Linked DNA regions of Stegostoma tigrinum. The protein of the gene in region 1 purifies or fractionates together with the protein of each later gene. This does not show direct contact. Links are inferred from orthologs where the notes say so. Each region holds a gene or a part of one and is shown on either strand. Other genes may lie near its edges. The genes, in order: prpf19, bcas2 and ctnnbl1.

The links.
Region 2: the proteins of prpf19 (region 1) and bcas2 purify together in Homo sapiens (co-immunoprecipitation; 10 studies listed by BioGRID and IntAct, counting the BioPlex papers as one, with this or other methods). This does not show direct contact. The link is inferred for Stegostoma tigrinum from reciprocal best matches to the Homo sapiens genes PRPF19 and BCAS2.
Region 3: the proteins of prpf19 (region 1) and ctnnbl1 purify together in Homo sapiens (affinity purification with mass spectrometry; 4 studies listed by BioGRID and IntAct, counting the BioPlex papers as one, with this or other methods). This does not show direct contact. The link is inferred for Stegostoma tigrinum from reciprocal best matches to the Homo sapiens genes PRPF19 and CTNNBL1.

What each region holds. Positions count from the first base shown.
Region 1 is NC_081399.1:7,395,553-7,406,132, forward strand, and holds the start of prpf19 (pre-mRNA-processing factor 19), read right to left. Parts: upstream 3,949-10,580; 5' UTR 3,896-3,948; coding exon 3,877-3,895; intron 1-3,876. UniProt on the Homo sapiens protein: Ubiquitin-protein ligase which is a core component of several complexes mainly involved pre-mRNA splicing and DNA repair. Required for pre-mRNA splicing as component of the spliceosome.
Region 2 is NC_081374.1:41,694,348-41,704,488, forward strand, and holds the start of bcas2 (pre-mRNA-splicing factor SPF27), read right to left. Parts: upstream 4,844-10,141; 5' UTR 4,800-4,843; coding exon 4,707-4,799; intron 1-4,706. UniProt on the Homo sapiens protein: Required for pre-mRNA splicing as component of the activated spliceosome. Component of the PRP19-CDC5L complex that forms an integral part of the spliceosome and is required for activating pre-mRNA splicing.
Region 3 is NC_081372.1:47,968,546-47,978,869, reverse strand, and holds the start of ctnnbl1 (beta-catenin-like protein 1), read left to right. Parts: upstream 1-5,467; 5' UTR 5,468-5,540; coding exon 5,541-5,570; intron 5,571-10,324. UniProt on the Homo sapiens protein: Component of the PRP19-CDC5L complex that forms an integral part of the spliceosome and is required for activating pre-mRNA splicing.

The DNA.
Region 1 (10,580 bases):
AGGAGCTGCAGATGCTGGAGAATGTGAGATAACAAGGTGTGGAGCTGGATGGACACAGCAGGACAAGCAGCATCAGAGGAGCAGAGGGGTAACAGGAACTGCAGATGCTGGAGAATGTGAGATAACAAGGTGTGGGGCTGGATGAACACAGCAGGACAAGCAGCATCAGAGGAGCAGCGGGGTAACAGGAGCTGCAGATGCTGGAGAATGTGAGATAACAAGGTGTGGGGCTGGATGAACACAGCAGGACAAGCAGCATCAGAGGAGCAGAGGGGTAACAGGAACTGCAGATGCTGGAGAATGTGAGATAACACGGTGTGGGGCTGGATGAACACAGCAGGACAAGCAGCATCAGAGGAGCAGAGGGGCAACAGGAGCTGCAGATGCTGGAGAATGTGAGATAACAAGGTGTGGAGCTGGATGGACACAGCAGGACAAGCAGCATCAGAGGAGCAGAGGGGCAACAGGAGCTGCAGATGCTGGAGAATGTGAGATAACAAGGTGTGGGGCTGGATGAACACAGCAGGCCAAGCAGCATCAGAGGAGCAGAGGGGTAACAGGAGCTGCAGATGCTGGAGAATGTGAGATAACAAGGTGTGGGGCTGGATGAACACAGCAGGCCAAGCAGCATCAGAGGGGCAGAGGGGTAACAGGAGCTGCAGATGCTGGAGAATGTGAGATAACATGGTGTGGGGCTGGATGAACACAGCAGGCCCAGCAGCATCAGAGGAGCAGAGGGGTAACAGGAGCTGCAGATGCTGGAGAATGTGAGATAACAAGGTGTGGGGCTGGATGAACACAGCAGGACAAGCAGCATCAGAGGAGCAGAGGGGTAACAGGAACTGCAGATGCTGGAGAATGTGAGATAACACGGTGTGGGGCTGGATGAACACAGCAGGACAAGCAGCATCAGAGGAGCAGAGGGGCAACAGGAGCTGCAGATGCTGGAGAATGTGAGATAACAAGGTGTGGGGCTGGATGGACACAGCAGGACAAGCAGCATCAGAGGAGCAGTGGGGTAACAGGAGCTGCAGATGCTGGAGAATGTGAGATAACAAGGTGTGGAGCTGGATGAACACATCAGGCCAAGCAGCATCAGAGGAGCAGAGGGGTAACAGGAACTGCAGATGCTGGAGAATGTGAGATAACAAGGTGTGGAGCTGGATGAACACATCAGGCCAAGCAGCATCAGAGGAGCAGAGGGGTAACAGGAGCTGCAGATGCTGGAGAATGTGAGATAACATGGTGTGGAGCTGGATGAACACAGCAGGACAAGCAGCATCAGAGGAGCAGAGGGGTAACAGGAGCTGCAGATGCTGGAGAATGTGAGATAACAAGGTGTGGGGCTGGATGAACACAGCAGGACAAGCAGCATCAGAGGAGCAGAGGGGTAACAGGAGCTGCAGATGCTGGAGAATGTGAGATAACATGGTGTGGAGCTGGATGAACACAGCAGGACAAGCAGCATCAGAGGAGCAGAGGGGTAACAGGAGCTGCAGATGCTGGAGAATGTGAGATAACAAGGTGTGGGGCAGGATGAACACAGCAGGACAAGCAGCATCAGAGGAGCAGAGGGGTAACAGGAGCTGCAGATGCTGGAGAATGTGAGATAACAAGGTGTGGAGCTGGATGAACACAGCAGGACAAGCAGCATCAGAGGGGCAGAGGGGTAACAGGAGCTGCAGATGCTGGAGAATGTGAGATAACATGGTGTGGGGCTGGATGAACACAGCAGGACAAGCAGCATCAGAGGGGCAGAGGGGTAACAGGAACTGCAGATGCTGGAGAATGTGAGATAACAAGGTGTGGGGCTGGATGAACACAGCAGGCCAAGCAGCATCAGAGCAGCAGAGGGGTAACAGGAGCTGCAGATGCTGGAGAATGTGAGATAACATGGTGTGGGGCTGGATGAACACAGCAGGACAAGCAGCATCAGAGGAGCAGAGGGGTAACAGGAGCTGCAGATGCTGGAGAATGTGAGATAACAAGGTGTGGGGCTGGATGAACACAGCAGGACAAGCAGCATCAGAGCAGCAGAGGGGTAACAGGAGCTGCAGATGCTGGAGAATGTGAGATAACATGGTGTGGGGCTGGATGAACACAGCAGGCCCAGCAGCATCAGAGCAGCAGAGGGGTAACAGGAGCTGCAGATGCTGGAGAATGTGAGATAACAAGGTGTGGGGCTGGATGAACACAGCAGGCCCAGCAGCATCAGAGGAGCAGAGGGGTAACAGGAGCTGCAGATGCTGGAGAATGTGAGATAACAAGGTGTGGGGCTGGATGAACACAGCAGGACAAGCAGCATCAGAGGAGCAGAGGGGTAACAGGAGCTGCAGATGCTGGAGAATGTGAGATAACATGGTGTGGGGCTGGATGAACACAGCAGGACAAGCAGCATCAGAGGGGCAGAGGGGTAACATGAACTGCAGATGCTGGAGAATGTGAGATAACATGGTGTGGGGCTGGATGAACACAACAGGACAAGCAGCATCAGAGGAGCAAGGGGGTAACAGGAGCTGCAGATGCTGGAGAATCTGAGAAAACAAGGTGTGAGGCTGGATGAACACAGCAGGACAAGCAGCGTCAGAGGGGCAGAGGGGTAACAGGAACTGCAGATGCTGGAGAATGTGAGATAACGCAGTGTGGGGCTGGATGAACACAGCAGGACAAGCAGCATCAGAGGGGCAGAGGGGTAACAGGAGCTGCAGATGCTGGAGAATGTGAGATAACAAGGTGTGGGGCTGGATGAACACAGCAGGACAAGCAGCATCAGAGGAGCAGAGGGGTAACAGGAGCTGCAGATGCTGGAGAATGTGAGATAACAAGGTGTGGGGCTGGATGAACACAGCAGGACAAGCAGCATCAGAGGAGCAGAGGGGTAACAGGAGCTGCAGATGCTGGAGAATGTGAGATAACAAGGTGTGGGGCTGGATGAACACAACAGGACAAGCAGCATCAGAGGAGCAAGGGGGTAACAGGAGCTGCAGATGCTGGAGAATCTGAGAAAACAAGGTGTGAGGCTGGATGAACACAGCAGGACAAGCAGCGTCAGAGGGGCAGAGGGGTAACAGGAACTGCAGATGCTGGAGAATGTGAGATAACGCAGTGTGGGGCTGGATGAACACAGCAGGACAAGCAGCATCAGAGGGGCAGAGGGGTAACAGGAGCTGCAGATGCTGGAGAATGTGAGATAACAAGGTGTGGGGCTGGATGAACACAGCAGGACAAGCAGCATCAGAGGAGCAGAGGGGTAACAGGAGCTGCAGATGCTGGAGAATGTGAGATAACAAGGTGTGGGGCTGGATGAACACAGCAGGACAAGCAGCATCACACCCAGGTTCAGATGTGTTCATCCAGCCCCACACCTTGTTAACTCCCAACACCAGGCCCAGGATCAGGCTCAGACCCAGGCTAAGGTTCAGTCCCAGGCCCAGGCCCCAGTTCAGACCCAGGCCCAGGCCCCAGTTCAGACCCAGACCCAGGCCCCAGTTCAGGCCCAGGCCCATGCCCCAATTCAGGCCCAGGCCCAGGTCCCAGTTCAGGCCCAGGCCCCAGTTCAGACCCAGGCCCAGGCCCCATTTAAGGCCCAGGCCCAGGCCCCAGTTCAGACCCAGGCCCCAGTTCAGGCCCAGGCCCATGCCCCAGTTCAGGCCCAGGCCCAGGTCCCAGTTCAGGCCCAGGCCCCAGTTCAAGTTCAGGCTCAGGCCCAGGCCCCAGTTCAGGCCCGGGCCCTGTGCTCCCACTGTCCATGAGGCGCAAGGCCCACTCCGCTCCTTGAGTTCCCGGTCTCCCCCCACACCCCGGCCTCTCTCTCTCTCTGCCCCGCTCCCGGGGGAGGGGGGTATCTTCCTGCCCCCGGCCCCCGCTCCCACTTACTCCAACACAGCAGCGACATGATGGCGGCGGCGGCGGCTCCCGGGGCAACTGGGAAATGGCGGGAGGAGAGGTCACGTCATTGGAGGGGCGTGGCCAGAGCGTGGCGTCATTACGCCGCGTGGGGTGGGCGGGGAAACAGGGACATCATCACGCGCGTGGGGTGGGCGGGGAAGAAGGGACGTCGTCACGCGCATGATGGGTCGGGAGGGAGGTAGGAGACGTCATCGGTGTTGAGTTGCAGGGGAGGAGACTGGAGAACGTCATCACGTTTGGGGAACGGGGAATGTGAGAGATAGTGGGAACTGCGGATGCTGGAGAATCCGAGATAACAAGGTGTGGGGCTGGATGAACACAGCAGGCCGAGCCGGCGTCATCACGCTTGGGTTTTGGGGTGGAGAATGCAGCGAACGTCATCTCGCCCGTGGCGGGAGGCCGGGGTGAAGAATGTAGTAACGTCATCACGCTGGGTGAAAAGGGGCGGAGACTGTAGGAGCCATCCCGCAAGGATTGGGCGGAGTGGGGGGGGGGTGCGGAAGTGACGTCATCAAAAGTGGGGGGAAAGGGGCGGGGACAATAGGAAACGTCTCAACGCTCGGTGACAAAAGTGCGGTGGACTGCAGAGAACGTCATCACCTAGCTGCGGCTGCGTGGGAATGGTTTGGGGCGGGGGGGGAGGGAGAGCGTGACCCCTAGCGGTGGGGTGGTGACCTAACAGGCAGTTCACAGGAGCAGGTCATTCGGCCCCTCAATACTGCTGTACCATTACATAAGATCATGGCCAACCTCTTCCTGTGGGTAAAGCCCAGCTTACCCGCACCCCTCACCATGACCCTAACTCCCTTTACTGGTCAAACATCTGCCTTTGCCTTATCGAAGCTTTCAACATGGTCCCCTCAACTGTGCAGGGGATCCCACGGGTTTCCTGACCCATTGGGAGAAGATGGTCCTCCTCAACTCTGCCCCCCGGCTCCTCGTCTCAGCTTCCAGTGGGAGCAGCCTCCTGCTCCCTCCTTACCCATTCCCTTCATCGTTTTACCCTCATTCTTCCCAACTCCGCTGAGTATAGACCCAGACAGCTCAACCTCTCCTCGTCTTCCGACCCTCCCGACCCCGGGGTCTCTCCCCGTCATCCGGCCCTCCCAACCCCACGGTCTCTCCTCGTCATCCGGCCCTCCCAACCCCACGGTCTCTCCTCGTCACCGACCCTCCCGACCCCGGGGTCTCTCCTCGTCACCGACCCTCCCGACCCCGGGGTCTCTCCTCGTCACCGACCCTCCCGACCCCGGGGTCTCTCCCCGTCATCCGGCCCTCCCAATCCCACGGTCTCTCCTCGTCACCGACCCTCCCGACCCCGGGGTCTGTCCTCATCATCCGACCCTCCCGACCCCGGGGTCTCTCCCCATCATCCGACCCTCCCGACCCCGGGGTCTCTCCTCGTCATCCGACCCTCCCGACCCCGGGGTCTCTCCTCGTCATCCGACCCTCCCGACCCCGGGGTCTCTCCCCATCATCCGGCCCTCCCAACCCCACGGTCTCTCCTCGTCATCCGACCCTCCTGACCCCGGGGTCTCTCCTCGTCATCCGACCCTCCCGACCCCGGGGTCTCTCCTCGTCACCGACCCTCCCGACCCCGGGGTCTCTCCTCGTCACCGACCCTCCCGACCCCGGGGTCTCTCCTCGTCACCGACCCTCCCGACCCCGGGGTCTCTCCTCGTCATCCGACCCTCCCGACCCCGGGGTCTCTCCTCGTCATCCGACCCTCCCGACCCCGGGGTCTCTCCTCGTCATCCGACCCTCCCAACTCCGGGATCAACCGGGTGAGCCCCCTCTGCAAACCCCTGCAGTGCCAGTACATCCTTTCTCAAGGGAGGAGACCAAAACTGGATGCAGTCCTCCAGGAGTGGCCTGATCAGCTGCAACATAAACCTCCCTGCTTTTAAACGCCATCCCTCTATCGCACTGATGGACAGCATCCCCATTTACCACCTTAAGTACCCACTGCACCTGCAAACCAGCTTCCTTGTTGTGACTCGCGCACAAGGACACCCAGATCCCTCTGCACAGCACACCCTGCAATCCTTCACTGCTTAAACGATGGAGCATTTCTCTGTTATTCCAAGCGAAACTTCCCGATTGCAACCTCGCCCACTGGCCCGACTTATCTGCGATGACCCCATGGCAGAATTTCAGGGTCCCCTGCACACTTTGCGCATCATCCAGCAAAGCTTTGACGAACATGACGTGAGGGTGCAAGGTACGCTGTCCACGCACCCCCCCACCCCCACAACCCCGTGTTGAGAGCGGGGAGAGATGCAACAGTGTGAGTTCGATTCGCCAGCTCACCAATGCCAGGCAGTGACTGTTGGGCACAGAGTCTGTTTACAAACCCATAGGGAACTACCACTATTCACAGAATGTATAACATTACAGCGCAGTACAGGCCCTTCGGCCCTCAATGTTGTGCCGACCTGTCATACCGATCTGAAGCCCATCTAACCTACACTATTCCATGTACGTCCATATGCTTGTCCAATGACGACTTAAATGTACCTAAAGTTGGCGAATCTACTACCGTTGCAGGCAAAGCGTTCCATTCCCTTACTACTGTCTGAGTAAAGAAACTACCTCTGACACCTGTCCTATATCTTTCACCCCTCAATTTAAAGCTATGCCCCCTCGTGCTCGCCGTCACCATCCTAGGAAAAAGGCTCTCCCTATCCACCCTGTCTAACCCTCTGATTATTTTATATGTTTCAATTAAGTCACCTCTCAACCTTCTTCTCTCTAATGAAAACAGCCTCAAGTCCCTCAGCCTTTCCTCGTAAGACCTTCCCTCCATACCAGGCAACATCCTAGTAAATCTCCTCTGCACCCTTTCCAAAGCTTCCACATCCTTCTTATAATGCGGTGACCAGAACTATACACAATACTCCAAGTGCGGCCGCACCAGAGTTTTGTACAGCTTCACCATAACCTGTTGGTTCCGGAACTCGATCCCTCTATTAATAAAAGCTAAAACACTGTATGCCTTCTTAACAGCCCTGTCAACCTGGGTGGCAACTTTCAAGGATCTGTGTACATGGACACCGAGATCAAGGGTATCTGAGCACCACCATGCTATAATACTGGCTGGAACACCAGTAATACTGGTCACGGTGCCGATCATACCATTCTGGAGTCCAGTTGTACTGGTCGTGGGGCCGATCATACCATTCTGGAGTCCAGTTGTACTGGTCGTGGGGGCCGATCATACCATTCTGGAGTCCAGTTGTACTGGTGGTGGGGCTGATCATGCCATTCTGGAGCCCAGTTGTACTGGTCGTGGGGCCGATCATACCATTCTGGAGTCCAGTTGTACTGGTCGTGGGGCCGATCATACCATTCTGGAGCCCAGTTGTACTGGTCGTGGGGCCGATCATACCATTCTGGAGTCCAGTTGTACTGGTCGTGGGGGCCGATCATACCATTCTGGAGTCCAAGTTGTACTGGTCGTGGGGCCGATCATACCATTCTGGAGTCCAGTTGTACTGGTCGTGGGGCCGATCATACCATTCTGGAGTCCAGTTGTACTGGTCGTGGGGGCCGATCATACCATTCTGGAGTCCAAGTTGTACTGGTCGTGGGGGGCCGATCATACCATTCTGGAGTCCAGTTGTACTGGTCGTGGGGCCGATCATACCATTCTGGAGTCCAGTTGTACTGGTCGTGGGGGGCCGATCATACCATTCTGGAGTCCAGTTGTACTGGTCGTGGGGCCGATCATACCATTCAGGAGTCCAGTTGCACTGGTCGTGGGGGGCCGATCATACCATTCTGGAGTCCAGTTGTACTGGTCGTGGGGGCCGATCATACCATTCTGGAGTCCAGTTGTACTGGTCGTGGGGCTGATCATACCATTCTGGAGTCCAGTTGCACTGGTCGTGGGGGCCGATCATACCATTCTGGAGTCCAGTTGTACTGGTCGTGGGGCTGATCGTACCATTCTGGAGTCCAGTTGTACTGGTCGTGGGGCTGATCATACTATTCTGGAGTCCAGTTGTACTGGTCGTGGGGGGCCGATCATACCATTCTGGAGTCCAGTTGCACTGGTCGTGGGAGCCGATCATGCCATTCTGGAGCCCAGTTGTACTGGTCGTGGGGGGCCGATCATACCATTCTGGAGTCCAGTTGTACTGGTCGTGGGGGGCCGATCATACCATTCTGGAGTCCAGTTGCACTGGTCGTGGGGGCCGATCATACCATTCTGGAGTCCAGTTGTACTGATCGTGGGGGGCCGATCATACCATTCTGGAGTCCAGTTGTACTGGTCGTGGGGGCCGATCATACCATTCTGGAGTCCAGTTGTACTGGTCGTGGGGCCGATCATACCATTCTGGAGTCCAGTTGTACTGGTCGTGGGGGCCGATCATACCATTCTGGAGTCCAGTTGTACTGGTCGTGGGGCTGATCGTACCATTCTGGAGTCCAGTTGTACTGGTCGTGGGGGGCCGATCATACCATTCTGGAGTCCAGTTGTACTGGTCGTGGGGGCCGATCATACCATTCTGGAGTCCAGTTGTACTGGTCGTGGGGCCGATCATACCATTCTGGAGTCCAGTTGTACTGGTCGTGGGGCCGATCATACCATTCTGGAGTCCAGTTGTACTGGTCGTGGGGGCCGATCATACCATTCTGGAATCCAAGTTGCACTGGTCGTGGGGGCCGATCATACAATTCTGGAGTCCAGTTGTACTGGTCGTGGGGCCGATCATACCATTCTGGAGTCCAGTTGTACTGGTCGTGGGGCCGATCATACCATTCTGGAGTCCAGTTGTACTGGTCGTGGGGGCCGATCATACCATTCTGGAGTCCAAGTTGTACTGGTCGTGGGGGGGCCGATCATACCATTCTGGAGTCCAGTTGTACTGGTCGTGGGGCTGATCATACCATTCTGGAGTCCAGTTGCACTGGTCGTAGGGCCGATCATACCATTCTGGAGTCCAGTTGTACTGGTCGTGGGGGCCGATCATACCATTCTGGAGTCCAGTTGTACTGGTCGTGGGGGCCGATCATACCATTCTGGAGTCCAGTTGTACTGGTCGTGGGGCTGATCATACCATTCTGGAGTCCAGTTGCACTGGTCGTGGGGGCCGATCATACCATTCTGGAGTCCAGTTGTACTGGTCGTGGGGCTGATCGTACCATTCTGGAGTCCAGTTGTACTGGTCGTGGGGCTGATCATACTATTCTGGAGTCCAGTTGTACTGGTCGTGGGGGGCCGATCATACCATTCTGGAGCCCAGTTGCACTGGTCGTGGGAGCCGATCATGCCATTCTGGAGCCCAGTTGTACTGGTCGTGGGGGGCCGATCATACCATTCTGGAGTCCAGTTGTACTGGTCGTGGGGGGCCGATCGTACCATTCTGGAGTCCAGTTGCACTGGTCGTGGGGGCCGATCATACCATTCTGGAGTCCAGTTGTACTGGTCGTGGGGGGCCGATCATACCATTCTGGAGTCCAGTTGTACTGATCGTGGGGGCCGATCATACCATTCTGGAGTCCAGTTGTACTGGTCGTGGGGCCGATCATACCATTCTGGAGTCCAGTTGCACTGGTCGTGGGGGCCGATCATACCATTCTGGAGTCCAGTTGTACTGGTCGTGGGGGCCGATCATACCATTCTGGAGTCCAGTTGTACTGGTCGTGGGGCCGATCATACCATTCTGGAGTCCAGTTGTACTGGTCGTGGGGGGCCGATCATACCATTCTGGAGTCCAGTTGTACTGGTCGTGGGGGCCGATCATACCATTCTGGAATCCAGGTGTACTGGTCGTGGGGGCCGATCATACCATTCTGGAGTCCAGTTGTACTGGTCGTGGGGGCCGATCATACCATTCTGGAGTCCAGTTGTACTGGTCGTGGGGCTGATCGTACCATTCTGGAGTCCAGTTGTACTGGTCGTGGGGCTGATCATACTATTCTGGAGTCCAGTTGTACTGGTCGTGGGGGGCCGATCATACCATTCTGGAGTCCAGTTGCACTGGTCGTGGGAGCCGATGATGCCATTCTGGAGCCCAGTTGTACTGGTCGTGGGGGGGGCCGATCATACCATTCTGGAGTCCAGTTGTACTGGTCGTGGGGGGCCGATCATACCATTCTGGAGTCCAGTTGCACTGGTCGTGGGGGCCGATCATACCATTCTGGAGTCCAGTTGTACTGGTCGTGGGGGGCCGATCATACCATTCTGGAGTCCAGTTGTACTGGTCGTGGGGGGCCGATCATACCATTCTGGAGTCCAGTTGTACTGGTCGTGGGGCCAGTAATACTGGTCCACCTTCAGTGCATCTGTACTCATCTCTTCAAACCACTTCCTGTGACCTTGAGGTCCAGCCCAGCTGTTGATCCTTTCCTAATATGTATACTCTCTTAATTTTGGTATCGTCCATGCAAGTTGTACCCATGCTGTCTCTGATGACTTCCAATCCCTTTTTGTAACATTGTGCCTGGAGCTACGCACACAATCCGAGATCTAACCAAGGTTCAATACAGTTTGAAGCAACTTCCCTACTCTTCGATTCTAACCTTCTAGAAATAAACCCTTAGTGCTTGGTCATTTTAATCATGGCTGAAGATTAGCATGGATACAATCGTCCTTTTTGCACTCTGTATAGCCAAAAACTGACATTTTCCTAGCTCAGAGATAACGGGAACTGCAGATGCCGGAG
Region 2 (10,141 bases), on another chromosome or scaffold:
AACTCAGTCTGGAAAGTTGAAAACTAATGATAAATGTGGTTCAATCTGGGTTTAGTTTATATGGTATGTATACAGCAATTAGGTTTATTCAGACAGTACATTTATGAATCTGAGCATTATTATATTTGCAAGTTAAACTAATTGTGCTTAACTATTCTATGTTGGAAGTTATTATACTTGGAATTTTATGTGTTTCTTTTGTTGTTGATGTGCATTCCATTTCTTATTGCAGTGAAGTCAGACTGAATTCATCTTAAAAAGAACTGGTCACAATGAAATCAGGAACAGAACCCTTGGCTGTAAAATGTTAATGTTCATGACGATGAGAAAAGGTTTAACCAAAAGATTTTTAAATGTATAGATGAAGCTGCAACTAAACAGCATCATTTACAATTCTGTTGAAGATTTAATAATTTTGCAAACACCATCTTTTTTAATGAGAATTGCGTACATGAAAACAATATTGCAAAAGTGGATAAATCAAAGAAATTGTGAATGTTGAGAACACTGCTGTAGCTGAGATCACTTTTTTTCATTCTTCAGTTTCTAAAACTCTTTACTGATCTAACCCGGAGAAAGACAATATTACTGTCAAAACAGTGTCCCCCACAGGTGCTAAACAGCAAACTTGCTGACTCCATACTTGCAGTGCAGAAAACTCAGTCCCATTAGCACTTTACTTCCTTATTAGCTGGTTTCACAGATTTCAATCTTGTAGGCTTTGAGATTTACTCATAGCTTCTCCTCATGCTACTGCCGCTTGCTGAATTAAAATTTTCCATTAATCCATCTACAGTCTCCAGCATTTTCCCAATTTCTCTGCTTGCGATGCCATCTATGTGCAATGCCATCTAATTGTTATTGAAACCAAGCCTTGATATTGTTTTCTGGAGACATGTAAATTATATAAGTGGAAAAGAAACTCCAGCACAAGTCTCAACAAGACACCAATTCCACATCACATGCACCTAGAAGACGCTTATCTTGTCCTCTGTTTCCCAATAAAGAAAGCAAAGAAAATTAAGATGTTTTGATCAGATTATACAAAGTCTGGATTTTGGGGAAAGGGCAGACTGTGACACTGAATGAATTTCAGTTTTTAACATTGCAAAAGACAATTCTGAGTTGAAGACAAATGTGATTCAATTTCTGGACAGCAAGGCTGCAGGGAGAAAGCAGCATGTATAAGGCACAGCACTGGAAGTTTAAGTATGACACTTGATATAAAAGGATCAATGATGATCGACAGAAGGTGGAAAAAGTAGAAATACAACACTAGCATTGGGATGTTGGCAAATAGAAATAAAGGAATCACTATTTACTAAGCTTTCTTTGTTGAATAAGAGTCACTATATAAATAAGAGCAGCATTCATGTCCTCGGCAATATGAGAGTTCTAGAAAGTTAGTGAACTGAAAAATAATTGATACAGGAAGAGGAGGAAAACAACAAGCTTTTAGGACACAGGTTTTAAAAGAGCTAAAGTCAAACTTAAAAATCGAGGCAATTTCAAGCCCAATCATATCTACTGAAAAAGGCAAAAAGCTAGAAATACAAAAGCTAAAATATACCACAATGGTACCTCTATTCGAGACAAAGAAATTAGATTTACATAACTGATGGACAAAATTTTTAGCAATGCAATGCAATAGACAACCATTATTAGAAGACATAAGGCTGGTAGTGAGAAAGAAACATAGCTCAAAAATCTGGAAGCAGAACCAGTATAGGTGGAAATTAGGATTAGTAAGTGCCAGAAGTCACCTGTGGCAGTACATTATTGGCTCCTTAACTGTAGAAACTTATTTTTTCAAATCAACCTGTTTGGATATGTTATTACACACCTCTACAGCAGGAGGGACTTAAACCTGGGCCTCATGGTCTAATGGTCTGGACACTGCCACTGCACTAGAACAGGGCACGCTGAAACTAGAGACCATTTTGTGTCATTGCTTATCCATGACTTGGTTACAAAAATGAGGCAAAGAATTAAATAAGGAACTATTAGAAACTGCAATAAAAGCAATATAAAAATTGGTGGGATATATACCGAACTAATATCAAGTTGTCAAAAGCAGTTGAGGAAGATGAATTTCTAGAATGTTTTCATGTTGGCTTCCTGAAACAAAACCTATGGTGTTATTCCACAACGTAAAAGTTACTTTATATCTAATATTCTGCAACAGAATGTCTGCCGGCACCCCCAAGATGTGCATGGGCAATAACACTGCCAGTACTGCTAATATCATTACGCACGTTTGCTTTTATTCATTGTGCTTATTTGGGCACCACGTGTTTTACCAAGAAAGCATTTCATTAAGTATGTGCAGAACTTTCCACACATGGAATGTGAACCTTTCAGGGGTATCATGAGAGTCTTCGTTCAGTGGGGTAAGGTTAATTAATAATCTCAAAGTAAAAGATCAGGTGGGAAACAGTAATCATAACACAACTGAATCACATACTTGGCTTGAAAGCAACATACTTAGATTGCAATTAAGAATTAAATTTAAAAAATAAAGCCAATTACAAAAGGAGTTTCAAAGCCATGAGATCATATTGCAGCTATACAAGAGTCTGGTGCGGCTGCACTTGGAGTATTGCGTACAGTTCTGGTCGCCCCATTGTACGAAGGATGTGGAAGCATTGGAAAGGGCGCAGAGGAGATTTACCAAGATGTTGCCTGGCATGAAGGGAAGGTCTAATGTAGAAAGGCTGAGGGACTCGAGGCTGTTTTCGTTAGAGAGAAGTTTAACAGGCAACTTTAATAGAGACATGCAAGATGATGAGAGGATCTGACAGGGCGGACAGTGACAGCCTTTTTCCTGGGATGGTGATAGCTGGCACGAGGGGACAAACGTTTAAATTGAAGGGTGATAGACATGGGACAGATGTCAGAGGTAGGTTCTCTGCTCAGAGTAGTAAGTGTGTGGAATGCCCTGCCTGTAACAGGAGTAGACTCGCAACTTTAAGGGCATTTAAATGGTCATTGGATAAACATATGGATGATAATGGAATAGTGTAAGTGGAATGGGCTTCAGATTGGTTTCACAGGGTGGCACAACATTGAGGGCTAAAGGGCCTGTACCGCACTGTAATGTTCTATGTTCTATTAGGAACAAGTTGGCAAAGATCGATTAGGTGAAAAGACTGATATGCACAGTAGTAAACAAATAGTTGGAATCAATTAAAGAAACAACTCAACACAGCCAACGAAAATAAAAAGCATCTTGCAAATAACAGTAATTCTGACAACTACCAGCACTTAAGAAATCAGGAAAAGGTGACCAAAAATTGAGAGAGAAAATGGAGGAGAGATGGGGAGCGAAGGGAGTAGGGGGATGGGGGCGGGGGGGGATGGGGGGAGGGGGGGGATGGGGGCGGGGGGGGGGGGATGGGGGCGGGAGAGATGGGGGCGGGGGGGGAGAGATGGGGGCGGGGGGGGGAGAGATGGGGGCGGGGGGGGGAGAGATGGGGGCGGGGGGGGGAGAGATGGGGGCGGGGGGGGGAGAGATGGGGGCGGGGGGGGGAGAGATGGGGGCGGGGGGGGAGAGATGGGGGCGGGGGGGGAGAGATGGGGGCGGGGGGGGGAGAGATGGGGGCGGGGGGGGGAGAGATGGGGGCGGGGGGGGGAGAGATGGGGGCGGGGGGGGGAGAGATGGGGGCGGGGGGGGGAGAGATGGGGGCGGGGGGGGAGAGATGGGGGCGGGGGGGGAGAGATGGGGGCGGGGGGGGAGAGATGGGGGCGGGGGGGGGAGAGATGGGGGCGGGGGGGGGAGAGATGGGGGCGGGGGGGGGAGAGATGGGGGCGGGGGGGGGAGAGATGGGGGCGGGGGGGGGAGAGATGGGGGCGGGGGGGGGAGAGATGGGGGCGGGGGGGGGAGAGATGGGGGCGGGGGGGGGAGAGATGGGGGCGGGGGGGGAGAGATGGGGGCGGGGGGGGAGAGATGGGGGCGGGGGGGGAGAGATGGGGGCGGGGGGGGAGAGATGGGGGCGGGGGGGGAGAGATGGGGGCGGGGGGGGGGAGAGATGGGGGCGGGGGGGGGGAGAGATGGGGGCGGGGGGGGGAGATGGGGGCGGGGGGGGGGGAGATGGGGGCGGGGGGGGGGAGATGGGGGCGGGGGGGGGGAGATGGGGGCGGGGGGGGGGAGATGGGGGCGGGGGGGGGGAGATGGGGGCGGGGGGGGGGAGATGGGGGCGGGGGGGGGGAGATGGGGGCGGGGGGGGGGAGATGGGGGCGGGGGGGGGGAGATGGGGGCGGGGGGGGGGAGATGGGGGCGGGGGGGGGGAGATGGGGGCAGGGGGGGGGAGATGGGGGCAGGGGGGGGGAGATGGGGGCAGGGGGGGGGAGATGGGGACAAGGTTGGGGTGGCAGAGGGGTGCAAGGTGGAGGCAGGGGTGTAGGTGGGGGCAAGGTGGGGGTGGGGAATGGGGGCAAGGTGGGGGTGGGGAATGGGGGCAAGGTGGGGGTGGGGAATGGGGGCAAGGTGGGGGTGGGGAATGGGGGCAAGGTGGGGGTGGGGGTGAAGGAAGAACAAGGGAGGGGGATGTGGGTAGGGAGACAATGGGGATGCCGTGTTCAATAGCAGCTGTTGGTGGAGGCTACAGCCCCGAGGCCCACGAAAGGACATTTCATTGCCGCTGTCGATCAGAATGATCACAGTCCCCCGGCTGACCAGACGTATTCGCCCCGACCCAGGCACTCACCGCCTCTCGGACCCCCGGCGCATCGTAACCCTGATCAAAATACGGCAACGCGTCCACCACCACATCGCCGGCCACCGCCAGCGGCCCCGCCATCTTGAGCGCCCTCAGCTCACCGCGCCTGCGCGCCTGGTAACCCCCATCCAGAAGCGCGTCCAGAATCCCACCGCTGAAGGTCTGCCTGCGCCTGCGCGCTGAATGCTGCCGTCCCTTCGGAGCATGCGCGCTTTGTATCAACTTGCAGCTATATCCCTCACTGGGTGAAGTGTTGGCAGGGTGCAATTGGGGTGTCCTCCTTAGATCACTCTTCGTTGGCCACCCTGACCAGCAGCTCCCTCAATATGAACCTGAAAACAATAATCACTGTACCAAAGTAATAAAATGTGAGGCTGGATGAACACAGCAGGCCCAGCAGCATCTCAGGAGCACAAAAGCTGACGTTTCGGGCCTAGACCCTTCATCAGAGGGTCTAGGCCCGAAACGTCAGCTTTTGTGCTCCTGAGATGCTGCTGGGCCTGCTGTGTTCATCCAGTCTCACATTTTATTATCTTGGATTCTCCAGCATCTGCAGTTCCCATTATCACCAATCACTGTACCAAAGTTTTCCGAAGAAGTGTCCCAGCCCGAAAAGTTAGCTTTCCTGTTCCTCTGATGCTGCTTGGCCTGCTGTGTTGATCAGCTCTACACCTTATTACTACAAAAGTTAATGCTGTTTATCTATAACATGCATTGCAGAAATTCACCAAGGCTCCTTGGACAGCACCTACCAAACCCGCCACCACTTCAGAATTAAATGCACACCTCAAGCACGGCACAACAAAATTTCCTATTTAACCATGTATTCCCACATAGAACATGGAACGTAGAACAATATCGCGTAAAACAGGCCCTTCGGCCCTCGATGTTGCGCCGACCTGTGAACTAATCTAAGCCCCTCCCACTACACAATCCCATCATTATCCATAATTTTACATCATTTGTGTATGTGATTGACCACGCATGAGCAGTGGCATTTGTCAGCAATAACTGAAGACCCTCTAGCCAGTTTATGCATGCATAGGTGGCCAAAGTGATAATTTTATCTGTTTTTGACCCAATTACTCTGTTTTTAAAGTTGCTGCTTGGCATAATGTCAATATCAAGTGTTGTAAAGCATAGGTTGACCCCCCCCCCTCCCCCCACCATGAGAACAAAAACCAAAACACCTAAAGAGGACCACCTCAGCCTATAATCTGTTAAGGGTGTAACCTGTCTTTCAGAAGTTTATAATGGTTAACTCAAGTATCCCTGACATTCATTTTACAATCAACAATTCATTTATCTAACTAATACTGAATAAATTAACTAAAGTATTAACAAACTGAACAAATCCCTTCTGACAGCTAACTATTCCTAAATAAAGCAAGATTTTAATGGTATGCTGTTCCAATAAATATAAGACCCATTTATATGACAAATCAATTGAATTTAGTCTCACAAAATTACAACCAGTTTATGCCTTCCAGAATGTTCTGTGTGTTCTCCATTGATTCTTCTGTCAGGAACCTTAGCTAGGAGTGCCATGGTACCGTTGTGAATAGATGGTGTTTCTCTAAGAGCTGAGAGCTGTTATCTCTAGCAGATAGCGGTTAGCTCTGCCAATTTTCCAACTGCTACCTTCTTGTATACACCTATGACTTATCAATTTCTTACAACTGGAATGGTCCTAGATTGTCAAGGCCGTCAGATTCAAATTTAATAGGTTTTTGATATCTAAGTACCAAGTTCAAATTGATTGGCTAAATTCAAAAATCTGCTTCCTTGGTAAAAATGCTGCTTGGCCTGCTGACGGTACAGCTTTGTGACGCAAATGTTTCAATTCAGGCGTTCTCTGTTCTTGCAAGGTTTCAAGCTGCTCACAGACATCTCTAAGCATAGAAAAAGCACAACCTATTAAAAGACCACCCAATGCTTTGTCCCCTAGCATTTTACAAACATTAAATTCTGCAAACACTAAATTCTAATGTGTTGCCTCCCAATTCATAGCTACTCTACCCAACCACACCACATGAGCCAAAACAAGGCTTGTAACCTTAATTTGAAATTAGAGCTGGGCCTTTCATGGAGTATAACAGTGGTGTTTCTCCAAAATGTAGTTGAAGCTGGGAGTCAATTGGAAGTGTCAAAATTGAAGCTGATCAAACTTTGCTCGGTAAGGTATCAATGGGTATGGAACAATGAAATTGAGATACTGACCTGGTTTGATAAGCAGAAATTGGAATAGGCCTGTGGTAATTGGAATGAGATTATTCAGCTGGATCTCAGAATATGAGCTCCCTGGTTGAGGCTGTTAATCTGGTCCAATAAGGGAGCCCTGGCAGACAGATAAAGAAGGGTGAGTGTCAGAGATACTGACAGTCTGGTGCCTGAATCTGTATGAGGCGGGACCATAGCCAAAGACTGTAAATAAAGGTCACTTGGTGATGGATAACAGCCTCAAGGCCTACTTAATGATCTGCTCCTAAATATATGCGTTTAATAGCAAGAAGCGCCATTGTGAAAGTTGCAAATATAAATGCTGCTCTTGAAGGTTATAGCTTCTGGTCATAACAAGGTCAGGCAGTTAGCTGGCCAATACTCAGGTGTTTCTGTTCGTGTGAGGGCAATTCTGTTCACAACCAAACTTACTTATTTACTGTGATGGACTGGGCTTCCTTAGGAATCACACTGAAGAATGGTAAATAATGAAATCAATATATTTTTCAGATTTTGAATTATGAGTACATTTAATATGTACAACACATTGCAATTGGCACAACTGATGCTAAACATTCTTATATGACAAGTAACAAAACAGAACATGCTCCCTCAAGTTCCCTGACTCATAATTGTTAAACTCCCAAAGTTACCTAAGATTTGGTTGGGAGAGGTAGAGTAACATAGCAATGGATTGAGTATTCTGCAGTCAAGTTGTGTCTTTTCTGGTCATAGTACTCCTGTTCTTTAGGTTATGTAACTTCCTTTGCTCCTTATTGTTGAGAAAGAAAGAGAGAGAGAGAAACCGCTCTGATTTATCAATCTTGCAGACCTCTGTGCCTCATGTTCCTTCCTTCCTTTCTGTATTGATTGTCATGACGGCAGCCAGATGGGCCTTATAAAATATGAGTTCCCTGATTGGGGCTGTTCATCTGGCCGAATGGCGAAGGTCCTGCCTGACAGACAAAAGCAGGAGTGCCAGACATCCTGTTCAATCTGAGAGTTGGCTCTGAGGCAGTTGGATCAGTGTCAAAGACTCTCCATGTGTAAATAAGCGGTGACTTGCTGATGGGATATCAGTCTATGTGAAGTTAATTCACTGGTAATGAGATTAAAGCACACTCCTGAAGAAATTCACTCCCAACAGTCATTTCTGAGTGAGAGTAAGCATTTGCAGCATCATGCTGCTATTGGCAAAGCTTGACTTATTCAATCCTGCTATTGAAGACTGGGCCCAGTATGTGGAAAGAATGCATTTTTTTTTTCTGGCCAAGTGACATTGTGGCAGGCGAAAAGCAATTAGTAATTCTCCTTACAGCTTGTGGACACACAGCTTTTTTGGTGATCCTGGCACACAAGCCATTGTATTTGCAGCCAGTGTGCGGACTTCCGCATCCATCGCATTATCCTTCGCCATTTCTGACACCAACAATCTGACCCCCCTCACCAAAGTGATACTTCCCTCCCCACCCCTATCTGCCTTTTTTAGGGACTGCTCACTCCACGACTGCTTCGTCCACTCCATACTCCCCACTAACATCACCACACATGGCACCGTTCCCAGCAACAGCAGGAGCTGCTACACCTGCCCTTACACGTTCCGTCTCACGTCTGTCCAAGGTCCCAAACAATCTTGTCAATTTTGACTGGGATTCACCTGTGCATCCTCCAACCTGGTCTACTGTATCCGTTGTTCCTGATATAGCCTCCTCTACATCAATGAGACCAACGCAGACTCGGTGACTGATTCAAGGAGCATCTGTGCTCTGTATGCTCTAAGCAACAGCACCTCCCAGTTTCCAACCATTTTAACTCCCTCTCCCACTCTCTGGGTGACATGTCCATCCTGGGCCTCCTTCAGTGTCACAAAGGTGCCACATGCAAGCTGAAGGAACAGCACCTCACATTCTGCCTCAGGAGGCTACAATCTGATGGCCTCTACATAGAAATCACCAGTTTCAAAATCTCCTCACCCCCGGCCTCACCCCATGTCCAACCCTCCATCTCATCCCTGCCTCCCTGACCAGACACAACTTGTCCATCTTCTTTCCATCTGTCCGCCCCACTCTTCCCACTGACCAATCTCCACAATTCCCTACCTGCATCCACCTCCCACCATCCCACCTACGTTCCACCGGCCCCACCTCCCTATTTATTTCCGAGCTCCTTTCCCCATTCCTGGTGAAGGGTGTAAACCCAAAACATCGACTTCCTTGTTCCACTGATGCTGTCTGACCTGCTGTACTCCTCAAGCTCCATGCTGTGTTGATGTGGTCCTGGTTCCTATATAAATTTAGGACTACTCCTCATGCAACTATCAGGATTGTTCCAGTAGAATGGGGAGAAGACTCTGCACCAGGTTAAATCTGATCTTGGGAAGGATGAGAAGGATGAAACGGCATCAGAAATCTCAATGTTGGGCACAAGACTCCTGTAAGCAAGAGAGACAGTTTACATCAGGGATCAAAGTTTGGTGTAGCAACCATGGGAATGGCCCTGCATGGGTAAGACACATGGTCAATGTGAGGTCAGATTCAGTGACATGTAAAGTTTGGGTAGGTATGTCAGTCCTGAACAAGCAAGTGGACCATATGAAAGCTGCAAACTCGCAAAATGTGCCTCGCTCCTCAGAATAGTCAGAACCTTTGGATCCCCCATCTCTGTCAAGCATTGAAGATGCCTGGGAATCTGAGATGGATGCGGCCGATGTCACCGCTTCAAAGTCTTTGCCGTCTGAAGAGGAGGATGAATTTCTTCTGAGATGCTCCATGCAAAAGATGTGAGCTACTGTCCCTTACACCCTGCCTGTATAAGGGACAGAATCAGAGGTACATGACCCGGTGCTGAAGTTCCCCAGGACTGGCCTATGTCCTTGAAATCAGAGGGGACGGGATGTAGTGATTGTATTGAGGTCAGCCAGGTGGACCCCATAGTCTAGCTGGTATTGCAGAACAATGAACTCCTGAACTCAAATATTAAATGATTTGTGAAATGCCTTCCAATGGGCTCTGGCACTTCTTTAATTGCATCAGACCAGTGGATATCATTGCCTCCCTAACCAATTCAGTACAGTGATGAGCTGATCGATGTCTCCATTGAGTTGAGTTAGATATAGCTTAGTATTTGAAAAGCTCCGTCCTTTCTGGTCTTGGGACCTACAGCATGCATTTCAAACAGGGCCCCTTTTCCCAAAATTGGGATAT
Region 3 (10,324 bases), on another chromosome or scaffold:
AACCTTGATTTAACATCTACTTGGAAAATGTCATAGTGAAATACCATGGCAAGATATTAGACTAACAAGCACATTTCACAAAAGGGAATCCCAAAATTCTCTATAGGCGTTTAAATAGTGAGAGAGTTGTTACAGGAATAATAGGGCTAATTAGAGACCAAAAAGGGGGCATAGCAGAGGTGCTAAATTAATAATTTTCTACCTCCTTTTCCAAAAGAAGATGATGCTGCCTAAGCCATGGTAACAGAAGAGGAAACTTTGTCACTAGAAGGGTTCTAATGAATAAAGAAGTCTTGGATAATCAGCCAGTACTTAAAGTTGACAAGGCACAGGACTGGATGAGAGATAGTAAGAATTGCCAATGCTGGAGTAAGAGATAACACAGTGTGGAGGTAGAAGAGCATAGCAGGCCAGGCAGCATCAGAGGAGCAGGAAAGCTGATGTTTCGGTTCAGGACCCTTCTTTAGAAAACTGGATAAGGTGCATCCAAGGATTTTGAAGGAAGTATTGGTAGATATCAGGGGGAAACTGGCAATCATCTTCAGTCTTCTCTCAACTTGGATGAGGTAGCAGAAGAATGGATAATTGTGAATTTTACATCATTGTTTAAGAAAAGTTGTAAGGATAATCCCAGCAATTATAGGTCAGCCAGTTTAACATCGGTGGTGAAGACGTTGCCAGAAACAATGATTTGGGATGGAATTTGTTATCACGTGAAAAAAGGGGTGTTGATTAGGAAGCATCAACACTAATTTGTAGAGGGGAAATTGTGTTCAACTAACTAAGGGTTAATGAGGGTCATGTTGTTGATGTAATATACATGGATTTGCAGAAGTTATTTTATCCAGTATCGCATGACAAACTTCTGAGGAAAAGTCATGGTATAAAAGGAACAGTAACAATGTGCATACAAAATTGGCAGAGCATTAAGAAATGGAGAATGGTAAATGGGTATATTTTGGGCAGGAAGAATATTTATGGTGAAGCTCCTCAGAGGTCAGTATTGGGGCCCTCATTTTTCCTGACATTATAGAATCCCTACAATGCAGCTAGAGGACTATTGGCCCATTAAGTCTGCATCTACCCTCCAAACAGCATCCTGCCCAGACCCATCACCGCCACTGCAACTGATGACACCTCATGGCTAATGCATCTAGCCTGCATGCTACAGGCCAATTTTACATACTGTGGTAGGAAACCAGAGCACTGGCAGAAACCTACACAGGCTGTCATCCAAGGCTGGAATTGAACTTAGGTCCCTGGCACTGTGAGGAAGCACTGCTAACCACTGTGCCACCATGTCACCCTAACATATTAATGATCTGGATCTTGGTGTGCAGGGGACAATTTCAAAGTTTGCAGGTGACACAAAACTCAGAAAAATTGTAAACCGTGAGGAGGATAGTCTGGAGCTCCAAAAGGACATTAACCAGTTTGATGGAGTGGGTTAATTGGTGGTAGATGAGGTTCAATACAGAGAAGTATATTTTGGTAGGAATATCATTGAAAGATAATGTAAAATTGGGGGTACGATTCTAAAGAGGGTGCAGGAGCAGAGGGACCTCTGTGTATATGTATAAGAATCATTGAAGGACAAGTGGAGAGAGCAGTAATAAAGCATACAGTGCCCTAGCCTTTATTAAAAATAGCACACAGTAAAAGGAGTTGATGTTGAACTTGTACAAGACACTCGTTTAACAGTGTGGGCATTACATTGCAGGAAACATGAGAATACATTGGAAAATATTCAGAAACAATTCACAAGAATGACTCCAGGAATGAGGAATTTTCAGTTATGAAGATAGGCTGAAGAAGTTGAGACTATGCTCTTTGGAGAGAAGAAGGCTGAGAGGAAATTTAATCAAGGTTTTCAAAAAATATGACCAAATTAGAGAGAGTAGATAGAGAGAAGCCATTTCTGTTCATAAAAGGAACACAAACAAGAGGGACAACAAGATGTAGAGCTGGATGAACACAGCAAGCCAAGCAGCATCAGAGGGGCAGGAAAGCTGTCGCTTCTGAAGAAGGGTCGAGGCCCAAAACATCAGCTTTCCTGATCCTCTGATGCTGCTTGGCCTGCTGTGTATATCCAGATCTGCACCTTGTTATCTCAGATTCTACAGCACCTGCAGTTCCTACTATCTCAAGAACAAGAGGGAATAGTTTTAAAGCGATGTACAAAAAAAAGCAAGGGTGATGTGAGAAAAATACTGTTTCACTCAGCAAGTAATTAGGATATGGAAGGCAGTACCTGGAAGTGTGGTGAAGGCAAATTTAGTTGAGACATTCAAGAGAGTGTTGGATGATTGTTTGTATAGAAATGGTGTGCAGTGATATGAGTAAAAGGCAGAAGATTGGCTTGAGGTAATGATGCTCATTTGAAAAGTTAGTGTAGACATGATGGACCAAAGGGCCTCCTTCTGTACCATAACAATTCTATGATTCAGTATTAATGTCAAAAAGAGTTCACAATTGCATCCACAACTTATATTTTACAGATAAAGGCAGTCTGAAGGAGAGGTTATGGTCTCGGTATCCCTGGAACCTGTAAGTTTGCTTGACAGAATTGTCCTCCTTCCTTCAAACCAACAGGGACACTCAGTTGAAAATTCGCTTAACTGATGCAATCAGGGGTGAAATGTCCAGATGGAGCTGAGAACGCTTATCTGTAACAAGCCCTAGCTGTCCTTCTTTGGGGCACGTAATCACATTATCAAGATAATGGGAAAAGACAGGATTACTTAGAACAGGAGGGAAGCTACTAGCGTACAGATGAGTTGGTGTTATTGAATATGCAAGTGTCATGTTGAAGAAACAAGTGAAACAGATCCACATTTTTGCTGTCCTTCCTCCCAAAGCTGATCATATCCAAGAGATGTATCAAAATGGTGCTGAAATTGCAACAGTAATTGGTCAATTTCAGTGATATTGCCCCTATGGGCAGCAGGAACAGAAAACCCATCAAGCACAATTGCATTTCCCCTTTCATCAATAGATAAAGTACAGATCTGATCAAGGTGACGACAATGCTGATGCCCTGAACCACAATTCTATCTCATGAAAGGAAGCCTATCTCTGCCATGTGACAGGGAATTACGAATGATATCATCAAATGTAAAAAATGTCTACTACCATTGAGGAATAGGAATTTTTATATGGAGCCAGATTTTGGTTCTGCTCTATGAAGACAATTGTTTTATATTAAGAGGTCAGAAAGTCATAAGAGGATGCAGTTTCCAAGTAAGCATGTAATTCACATATGTGCCCAGCAGGATATACCTGTGACGTTAATGACTAAAATATTTATACTGCCACATTTACAACGGATGGAGAAAACAGATCAAGCATCATTAGATTAGCATGGTTTCAGTTCAAAACGATCAGAAATTTAGTACACATGACCAAGAGAGGTGAAAATGTGGAAGTCACTGCCACAGGCTGAAGTGACTAATATTATGCAAATAAGGCAAGATTTGATATTCATGAAAGAAAAAAATTGAATTGACAACTATTGGGGAGGAAATGGCCTCGTGGTACTGTCTCTGGATTAACAATCCAGCAATACTGAGATACTGTTCTGAGGACCTGTGTTCAAATCCTGCCACAGCAAATGGTGCAATTTGAATTCAATTAAAACAAAATCTAAACTAAGAATCCTGAGATGAACATGAATCCATTGTCAATTCTTGGGGGAAAAAACCCAGTGATGCCCTCATCCTGTAAATGAATGAAAATAAAACTATAGAGATCAATTAGGGCATGTGATGGCCTAGTAGTATTATTGCTGCATTGTTAATCCAGAGATCCAGCTAATGTTCTGGGGACCTCGGTTTGAATCCTGCCACGGCAGATGATGGAATTTGAATTCAATAAAAATCTGGAATTAAGTCTAATGATCACTATGAATCCATTATCAATTGTTGGGAAAAACCTATCTGGTTCACTAACACCCTTTAGGGAAGGAATCTCCAATCCTTACATTTGTGTTGCCACTTTCGGCAGCTATAGACTTGCAACCCAAGATCCCTCCATATATCAGTGTTCCTAAAGGCCCTGGCATTAACTGTATAATTTTATCTTGCATTTGATCTCCCAAAATGCATCATCTGACACCTTTGGAGTTCTTTCTGATTATTCCTATTATTCTTCTAATATCATCCCCATTACATACCTGATCCCAGTCCTACTTCCTATGCCATCCCTAAACCCCTTTCCATACATCCCATGTATTTCCACTCATGGTGTTCCCATCCCAGATTTCTCTCTTATGCTGTCCTCCACTTTCCACTCAATGCTGTCCCTCATTCCTGGCTGACTGCTTTTGTTCAGTGAGGTTTGTCTGCATCACTCTGTTGCTTTCCAATTATAGAAAGACAATTAGAAAATTTAGATATTTTAAAACTTAATTGTAACATTTAAGTACCCAGGAACCAGCTAAGAAATACACACACTAACAGATGCAAACCTTAAACTGATCAATAAACAGAGTCTTGACAGATGAAGACTGTTAATAACATAGGTTACAACTTTGGTAAAAGGCGAAATGAGGAAGGGTCCCAATCAACTTTCCTGCTCCTCAGATGATGCCTGGCCTGCTGTGTTCCTCCAGCTCCACACTGTGTTATCGCTGACTCCGGCATCTGCAGTTCTTACTATCTCTTATAATGAACTACAATATAGTCCACCTTGTCTTCACCTCCAACCCACTAGTGTTCACTTTCAATGATCATTCTTAATCATTTATGCCACCCATACTGTTACAGCAAACCTTATTCCTCACCTTTCCCCATTCAGGATTCTGACAGAACCGTTGTCTCCTAGGTCTACTGGTCCATCATGCCACATGGCAAAGCAGGCTCTATAGTTCCTCAAGATTAAGGACCCAAAACACAACCTTCAGTTGAAACAGTTCTTATATTTCTTTCAATTTTTAATAAGTGTTCACTGTTTATGAACTAGTTTTCTCTGCTTGGGAAAACTAAACACATATATGTTATAGAGATAGTAGGAACTGCCGCTGCTGGAGAATCTGAGATAACAAGGTATAGAGCTGGATGAACACAGCAGGCCAAGCAGCATCAGAGGAGCAGGAAAGCTGATGTTTCGGGTCTAAACCTTTCTGAAGAAGGGTTCCCACCTGAAACGTCAGCTTTCCTGCTCCTCTGATGCTGCTTGGCTTGCTGTGTTCATCCAGCTCTACACCTTGTTATCTCAGATTCTCCAGCATCTGCAGTTCCTACTATCTCAGTACAAGAAAAGTTCTGCTTTTAAATCTATTTCAGATTTTTATTTGTTTGAAGAGCTCACTAAAATCAATGCTAAATTTCCCTTCGGAAAGACACATCAGTGAAGTTTCATTAGCAAAGAAAGTGTTAAAAACCGTACGATGGTTTTAACCTGAGACTTTCTAAGATCATTCCTGGCTGAACTTGGAGCCTTTACGACAATTGGCGGTCATTTACGACCGTTTGGGACATACGGCAGTGTGGCAGGGACCTGAGCGGTGGGGGGACATTTTAGCTTCTTGCGACAGTGCTGATATGGATGTGGGCGAATTGCTGAACTATCAGGTGAGGCAGCAGCTTCTCCTCCTTCTTTCGGGCCCCCTGTCTACGCTCAGTCAGTCTAAGCCGCTCCATATCCCCACTCCGGCCGGTTCCGAGACAAGCGAGGCCGCAGAGCCTGGCACTCGAGTTGTGGCTGCATCGCCAGTAACTGACAGGGAGCCCTCTTTTTCCTGCCACACGATTTCGAGTTCACGTGGGGCTCCATCGTTGATCAATTTTAGGTTCTATCAGCTCCACAGGTGTGTAATGACGTCTCTGATCAGGTTGATTCAAAAATATCAATAAACCATCTTTCCATAGCCACAATATTACAGTCATCAGCCCCAGCTTAGGAGTTTCACCTTCTAATTGAATCGCTTTAAAATTCCTGATACAGAGAGGTGACATATTTGTCAAACAACAGGCCACTGTGCCTGGCATAGTGATGAGAAGTTATTCCATGATGTTAATTTTCAGTACTATAATGTAGAAATATTAAATACAAAACACATATGGCACATAACATCTTGCCCGTCATAAGATGGAAAACAGAATTGCTGTAGTACTGAAATATAATCTTAGTGTGTGACAGTGAAGTGCGAGAAAGGTTCACGTGAGGGTAAACTTAGAAGGTTAAAAAAAGGGTGAAACAGTGATGCAGGATTGCAGCTTTGATAATGATGACTAGAGTGTGTCAAGTGGAATAGAACACAAATATAGGAGTATACTGGCAAGATGATTTTTTTTGGCTAATGTGAATTCACATGCAAATATAGTTGTGGATATAAATGGTGAAAAGGCAGATTGAAAATTATTTCTCTAAATGTGCACTGAATGGACAAATTAATAATACAAATACAAATGACTGAGTATAATTTGATTGCCATTGTAGAAATGTGGTTGCAAAATGACTGGCTGGAACCTAAATATTTGAGGATGTTCAACACTTTGGAAAGTCAGGAAGGAGGGTGAGGAATTGGATAACTCTTTTAATAAATAATGAAATCAGTGCAGTTGTGAGAATTGATCTTGATTCAGAGGATCAAGATGTAAAATCAGTTTGGATGGAGATAAGAAATGGTGAAAGAAAGAAGTCATTGGGAGTACATAAGGGTTAAACTGAAGGGTGCATTGTAAATCAAGAAGTAATAGAGTTTATAACAGTCACTCAAAATTGGGGAGACTTCACTCTTCATATTAGTTGAAAGCAATAGACAAAAATTGCCTGGGGATGAACATTGTATTTTGAACAGTTTCTTGGGGTTCTTTCTGTAACCAAACAGGAAACATTATTTGAGGCCTGGTATTGTGAACTGTAGGCTTGTAAAACAAATGATGTAGCCACATTACAGGGCAGACATTAATGATGTCCAGCATGCAACAGGAGGGATAAGTGTACAAACGTAGAAAAACATCAGCAAATAGGGTCAAAGGGACAAAAGTGATTAGCAAAACTGATGGTTCCACGCTTGAATGCACATAGTATTTTGAACAAAATAAATGAGTTAATGGCACAAATAGAATTTATTGGGTATGGCCTTGCAGCCACTGTGGAGATATGGTTACAAAGAAGTTAGTATAGGGAACTGTGTATTATGGGATAAATGTCTTTTCAAAAGGAGAGGCAGGAGGGAAAGGGTGGTGGGGTAGCATTGTTGGTATAGGATGGAATAGATGCAAAAGCAAGAAATGATCTTGGATTAGAAAATGTAGAATCCAAATGAGGATGGAGGTAAGAAATATCAAGGAGGAGAAGACATTGACAGGAGTAATATTTTGGCCTCTTAACAGTAGCAATATAACAGGACTGAGAATAAATCAGGAGCTAATGACTATGTAAAAAAGGTAGTATATCAATCATAGAATCCCCAATGAGGCCATTTGGCCCATTAAGTCGGCACTAACTCTCCATAGTGTCCCATAGACCGCTTCCCTGCATTCGTCATAGCTAAACTACCTAGGCTACACGTCCTTGAAGACTATAGACAATTTAGCACCCATCCATATCTTTGGACTGCGGGAGGAAACTGGAGCACCCAGTGGAAAACCACGCAGACACGTGGAAAATGTGTGGAGTTTGCACAGTCACCTGAGGCTGAAATCAAATCCGGGTTCCTGGTGCTGTGAGGCAGCACTGATAACCACTGATCCACCATGCCACTCTGGGTGAATTTAATCTGCATGTGGGTTGCAATGTTAGATTTGCAGAGGTAACCAGGAGGAAGAATTCAGAGCATATTTGGACAGTTTCCCTGAACAATATGTTGCGGGTCTAACTAGGGATCAGGCTGTTTTAGATTTGATGTATAATGACAGGTTTATTAAATTATCTCAGAGTAAAGGATCTCCTAGAAAACAGTAACCATACATGGTAGAATTTAGAATTTAATTTGAAAGGGAGAACTTGGGTCAGAAACAGCTATGTTAAATCTAAGGGTAATTACAAAGAAATAAGGGCAGAATCAGTTGTTGTGGACTAGAAAAGAAGTTTAGCAGAGAAAACCTGAGTATACTTTTAAGAATATAGTTCATCAGTTGAAAAACACATTGCAGTGATAAAGGAGGGTTCCAGGAAGGGAATTAGCCAAGCGTAGGGGTTTTAAGGATAGCATCAGATTGAAAGCAGAAATATAATATGGCAAAGATTAGTGGTAGGCCAGAGATTTGGGAAAGTTTAGAAAACTGCAAGAAGTGACCAACATAAAAATGAGGGATTAAATAAACCTGAAAGCTAACTTGCAAGAAGTATTAAACTTGACATCAAGTTTATTTTTAATATACTAAAAGGAAGAGAAAGGCCAAAGTGAGCACAGCTCCCTAAGTGGAAGAGGCTGGGGAAGTAATACTAATGTGGAACTGGGACATGGTAGAGGAGTTGAATAAATACTTTGCACCAATCTTCACCGTAGAAGACACTAATAATGTTCCAAAAATACTGAATGATCAAGGAGAAAAAGGGGGAAATGAAATAAATCCAATAACCATCACGAAAGAAAATGTACTAAGGAAGCTAACAGCCAGAAAGTTGTCAAGACCTGATGGAGAGCATCTTCGGATATTTATTAAAGTAGCTATTAAAGATAGAGGATGCACAACTGGTAATCTTCCAAAAATCCTTATATTCTGGAAGAGTGATTAGAAAAGTTGCGAACGTAACGCCTTTATTCAAAAAGGAAGGAAGACATAAAAATAGTCTATTGGCAAGTTAGCTTAACATCTGTTATTTGGAATATATTAGTTTATTATAAAGTGTCAACGTGGTTTCATGAAGGGGCAGCCATGCCTGAGAAATTTACTATAGTTCTTTGAGAACCCTAACCCTATTGCAGGATAAATAAAGGGAAAGCAGTGGATGTAATATACTTGGATTTCGACAAGGCATTTCATAATGTACCTTACATTAGGCTACTTCTTAAGATAAGAGCACATCATGTTTGGAGGAATATATTAGTAAGGACAAAGGATTGGCTAGCTAATAAAAGACAGACGTTGGGATACTGGGGATGTTTTCATGATGCTCGCCTGTGACTAGCGCAGTGTCACAGGGATCAGTGCCTGAGTTACAGTTATTGACAAAATGCAATAATCATTTCGATGAGGGAAATGAATGCACTATAGCCAAGTTTGCAGATGACACAAGGTAGGAAGGCAAGTAGTTAAGGTGACACAAGAAGTCAACAAACGAATATAAAAGGTTAAGTCAGTGGACCAAAACTTTGTGATTGGAATATGATGTGAAGCTATGGATTTTGGCAGGAAGAATAGAGGAGCTGAATATTATTTACTTCGATAACAACTGCAGAAAGCTACAGTGCAGAGGTATTTGCAAGTTCTGTTTATAAATCACAAAAAGCAGGGGTAGGCGTGTTGATTGGCAGGAACAGTCAGTTAAGATAAGAAAATGAGATGCTTAAAAAAACAGTGTATGTACTGTGGGAATGTGTTGGCTTGCAGTGTCCTTACAAGACTTTGAATTCATTAGAGTGAAGAGGTGGATGTGATGTAGTGGTAATCTCACTGGACTAGTAATCCAGAAATTTGGGCTGATGTTCTGGCGACATGGGTTCACATTCCACCTTGAATTCAGTTTTCAACCAGTAAGCTTCATAGAGTCACGGAGGAGAGAGCCCGTTCTGAGTGAGACACGGTTTTCTGAAGATGGAATCGAACCTGGATCCTTGACCCTGTGGGGCGGCTATGCTAATCACTGAGCCACTATGCAACCCAGCGGCAAGGGGAGTGGAGTATAAGCAAGGACAAATCTTACTCAAACCATACAAGACACTAGTTAGATCACACCTGGAATGCTGTGAATAATTTTGGTCCCCTGAACTAAGACAAGATATACTAGTATTGGAGGCTGTCCAGAGCAAGTTAACTGGTCTCATCCTGGTATGGGGAGATTGTCTTAGGAGAATTTGAATTGTTTAGGTCTGTACTCAGTGTAGTTTAGAAGAAACAGAGGCTATCATAATGAAAAGTATATGTTCCTCAGGGGCTTGACAGGGTAGATCAGGAGTTTTTTCCATTTTGAAAAGCCTAGGAGCAGAAGGCATAATCTGAGTAAGTGGTCACTCAGCTTATATAAAGATGAGGGAGAATTTCTTCTCAGTGGAATTCTTGAGCATGGAAGGCTGTAGAGACTGGTTTACTCAGTATACTCAAGCCTGAAATAGTTAGATTTTTAAGGGTAAGGGTACTAAGGGTACTTAATCTCCTTACTTTCAGTGAAAGCAGTTCAGACGAACTTCACTAAGCTGATTCCAAGCCCGAAAGAG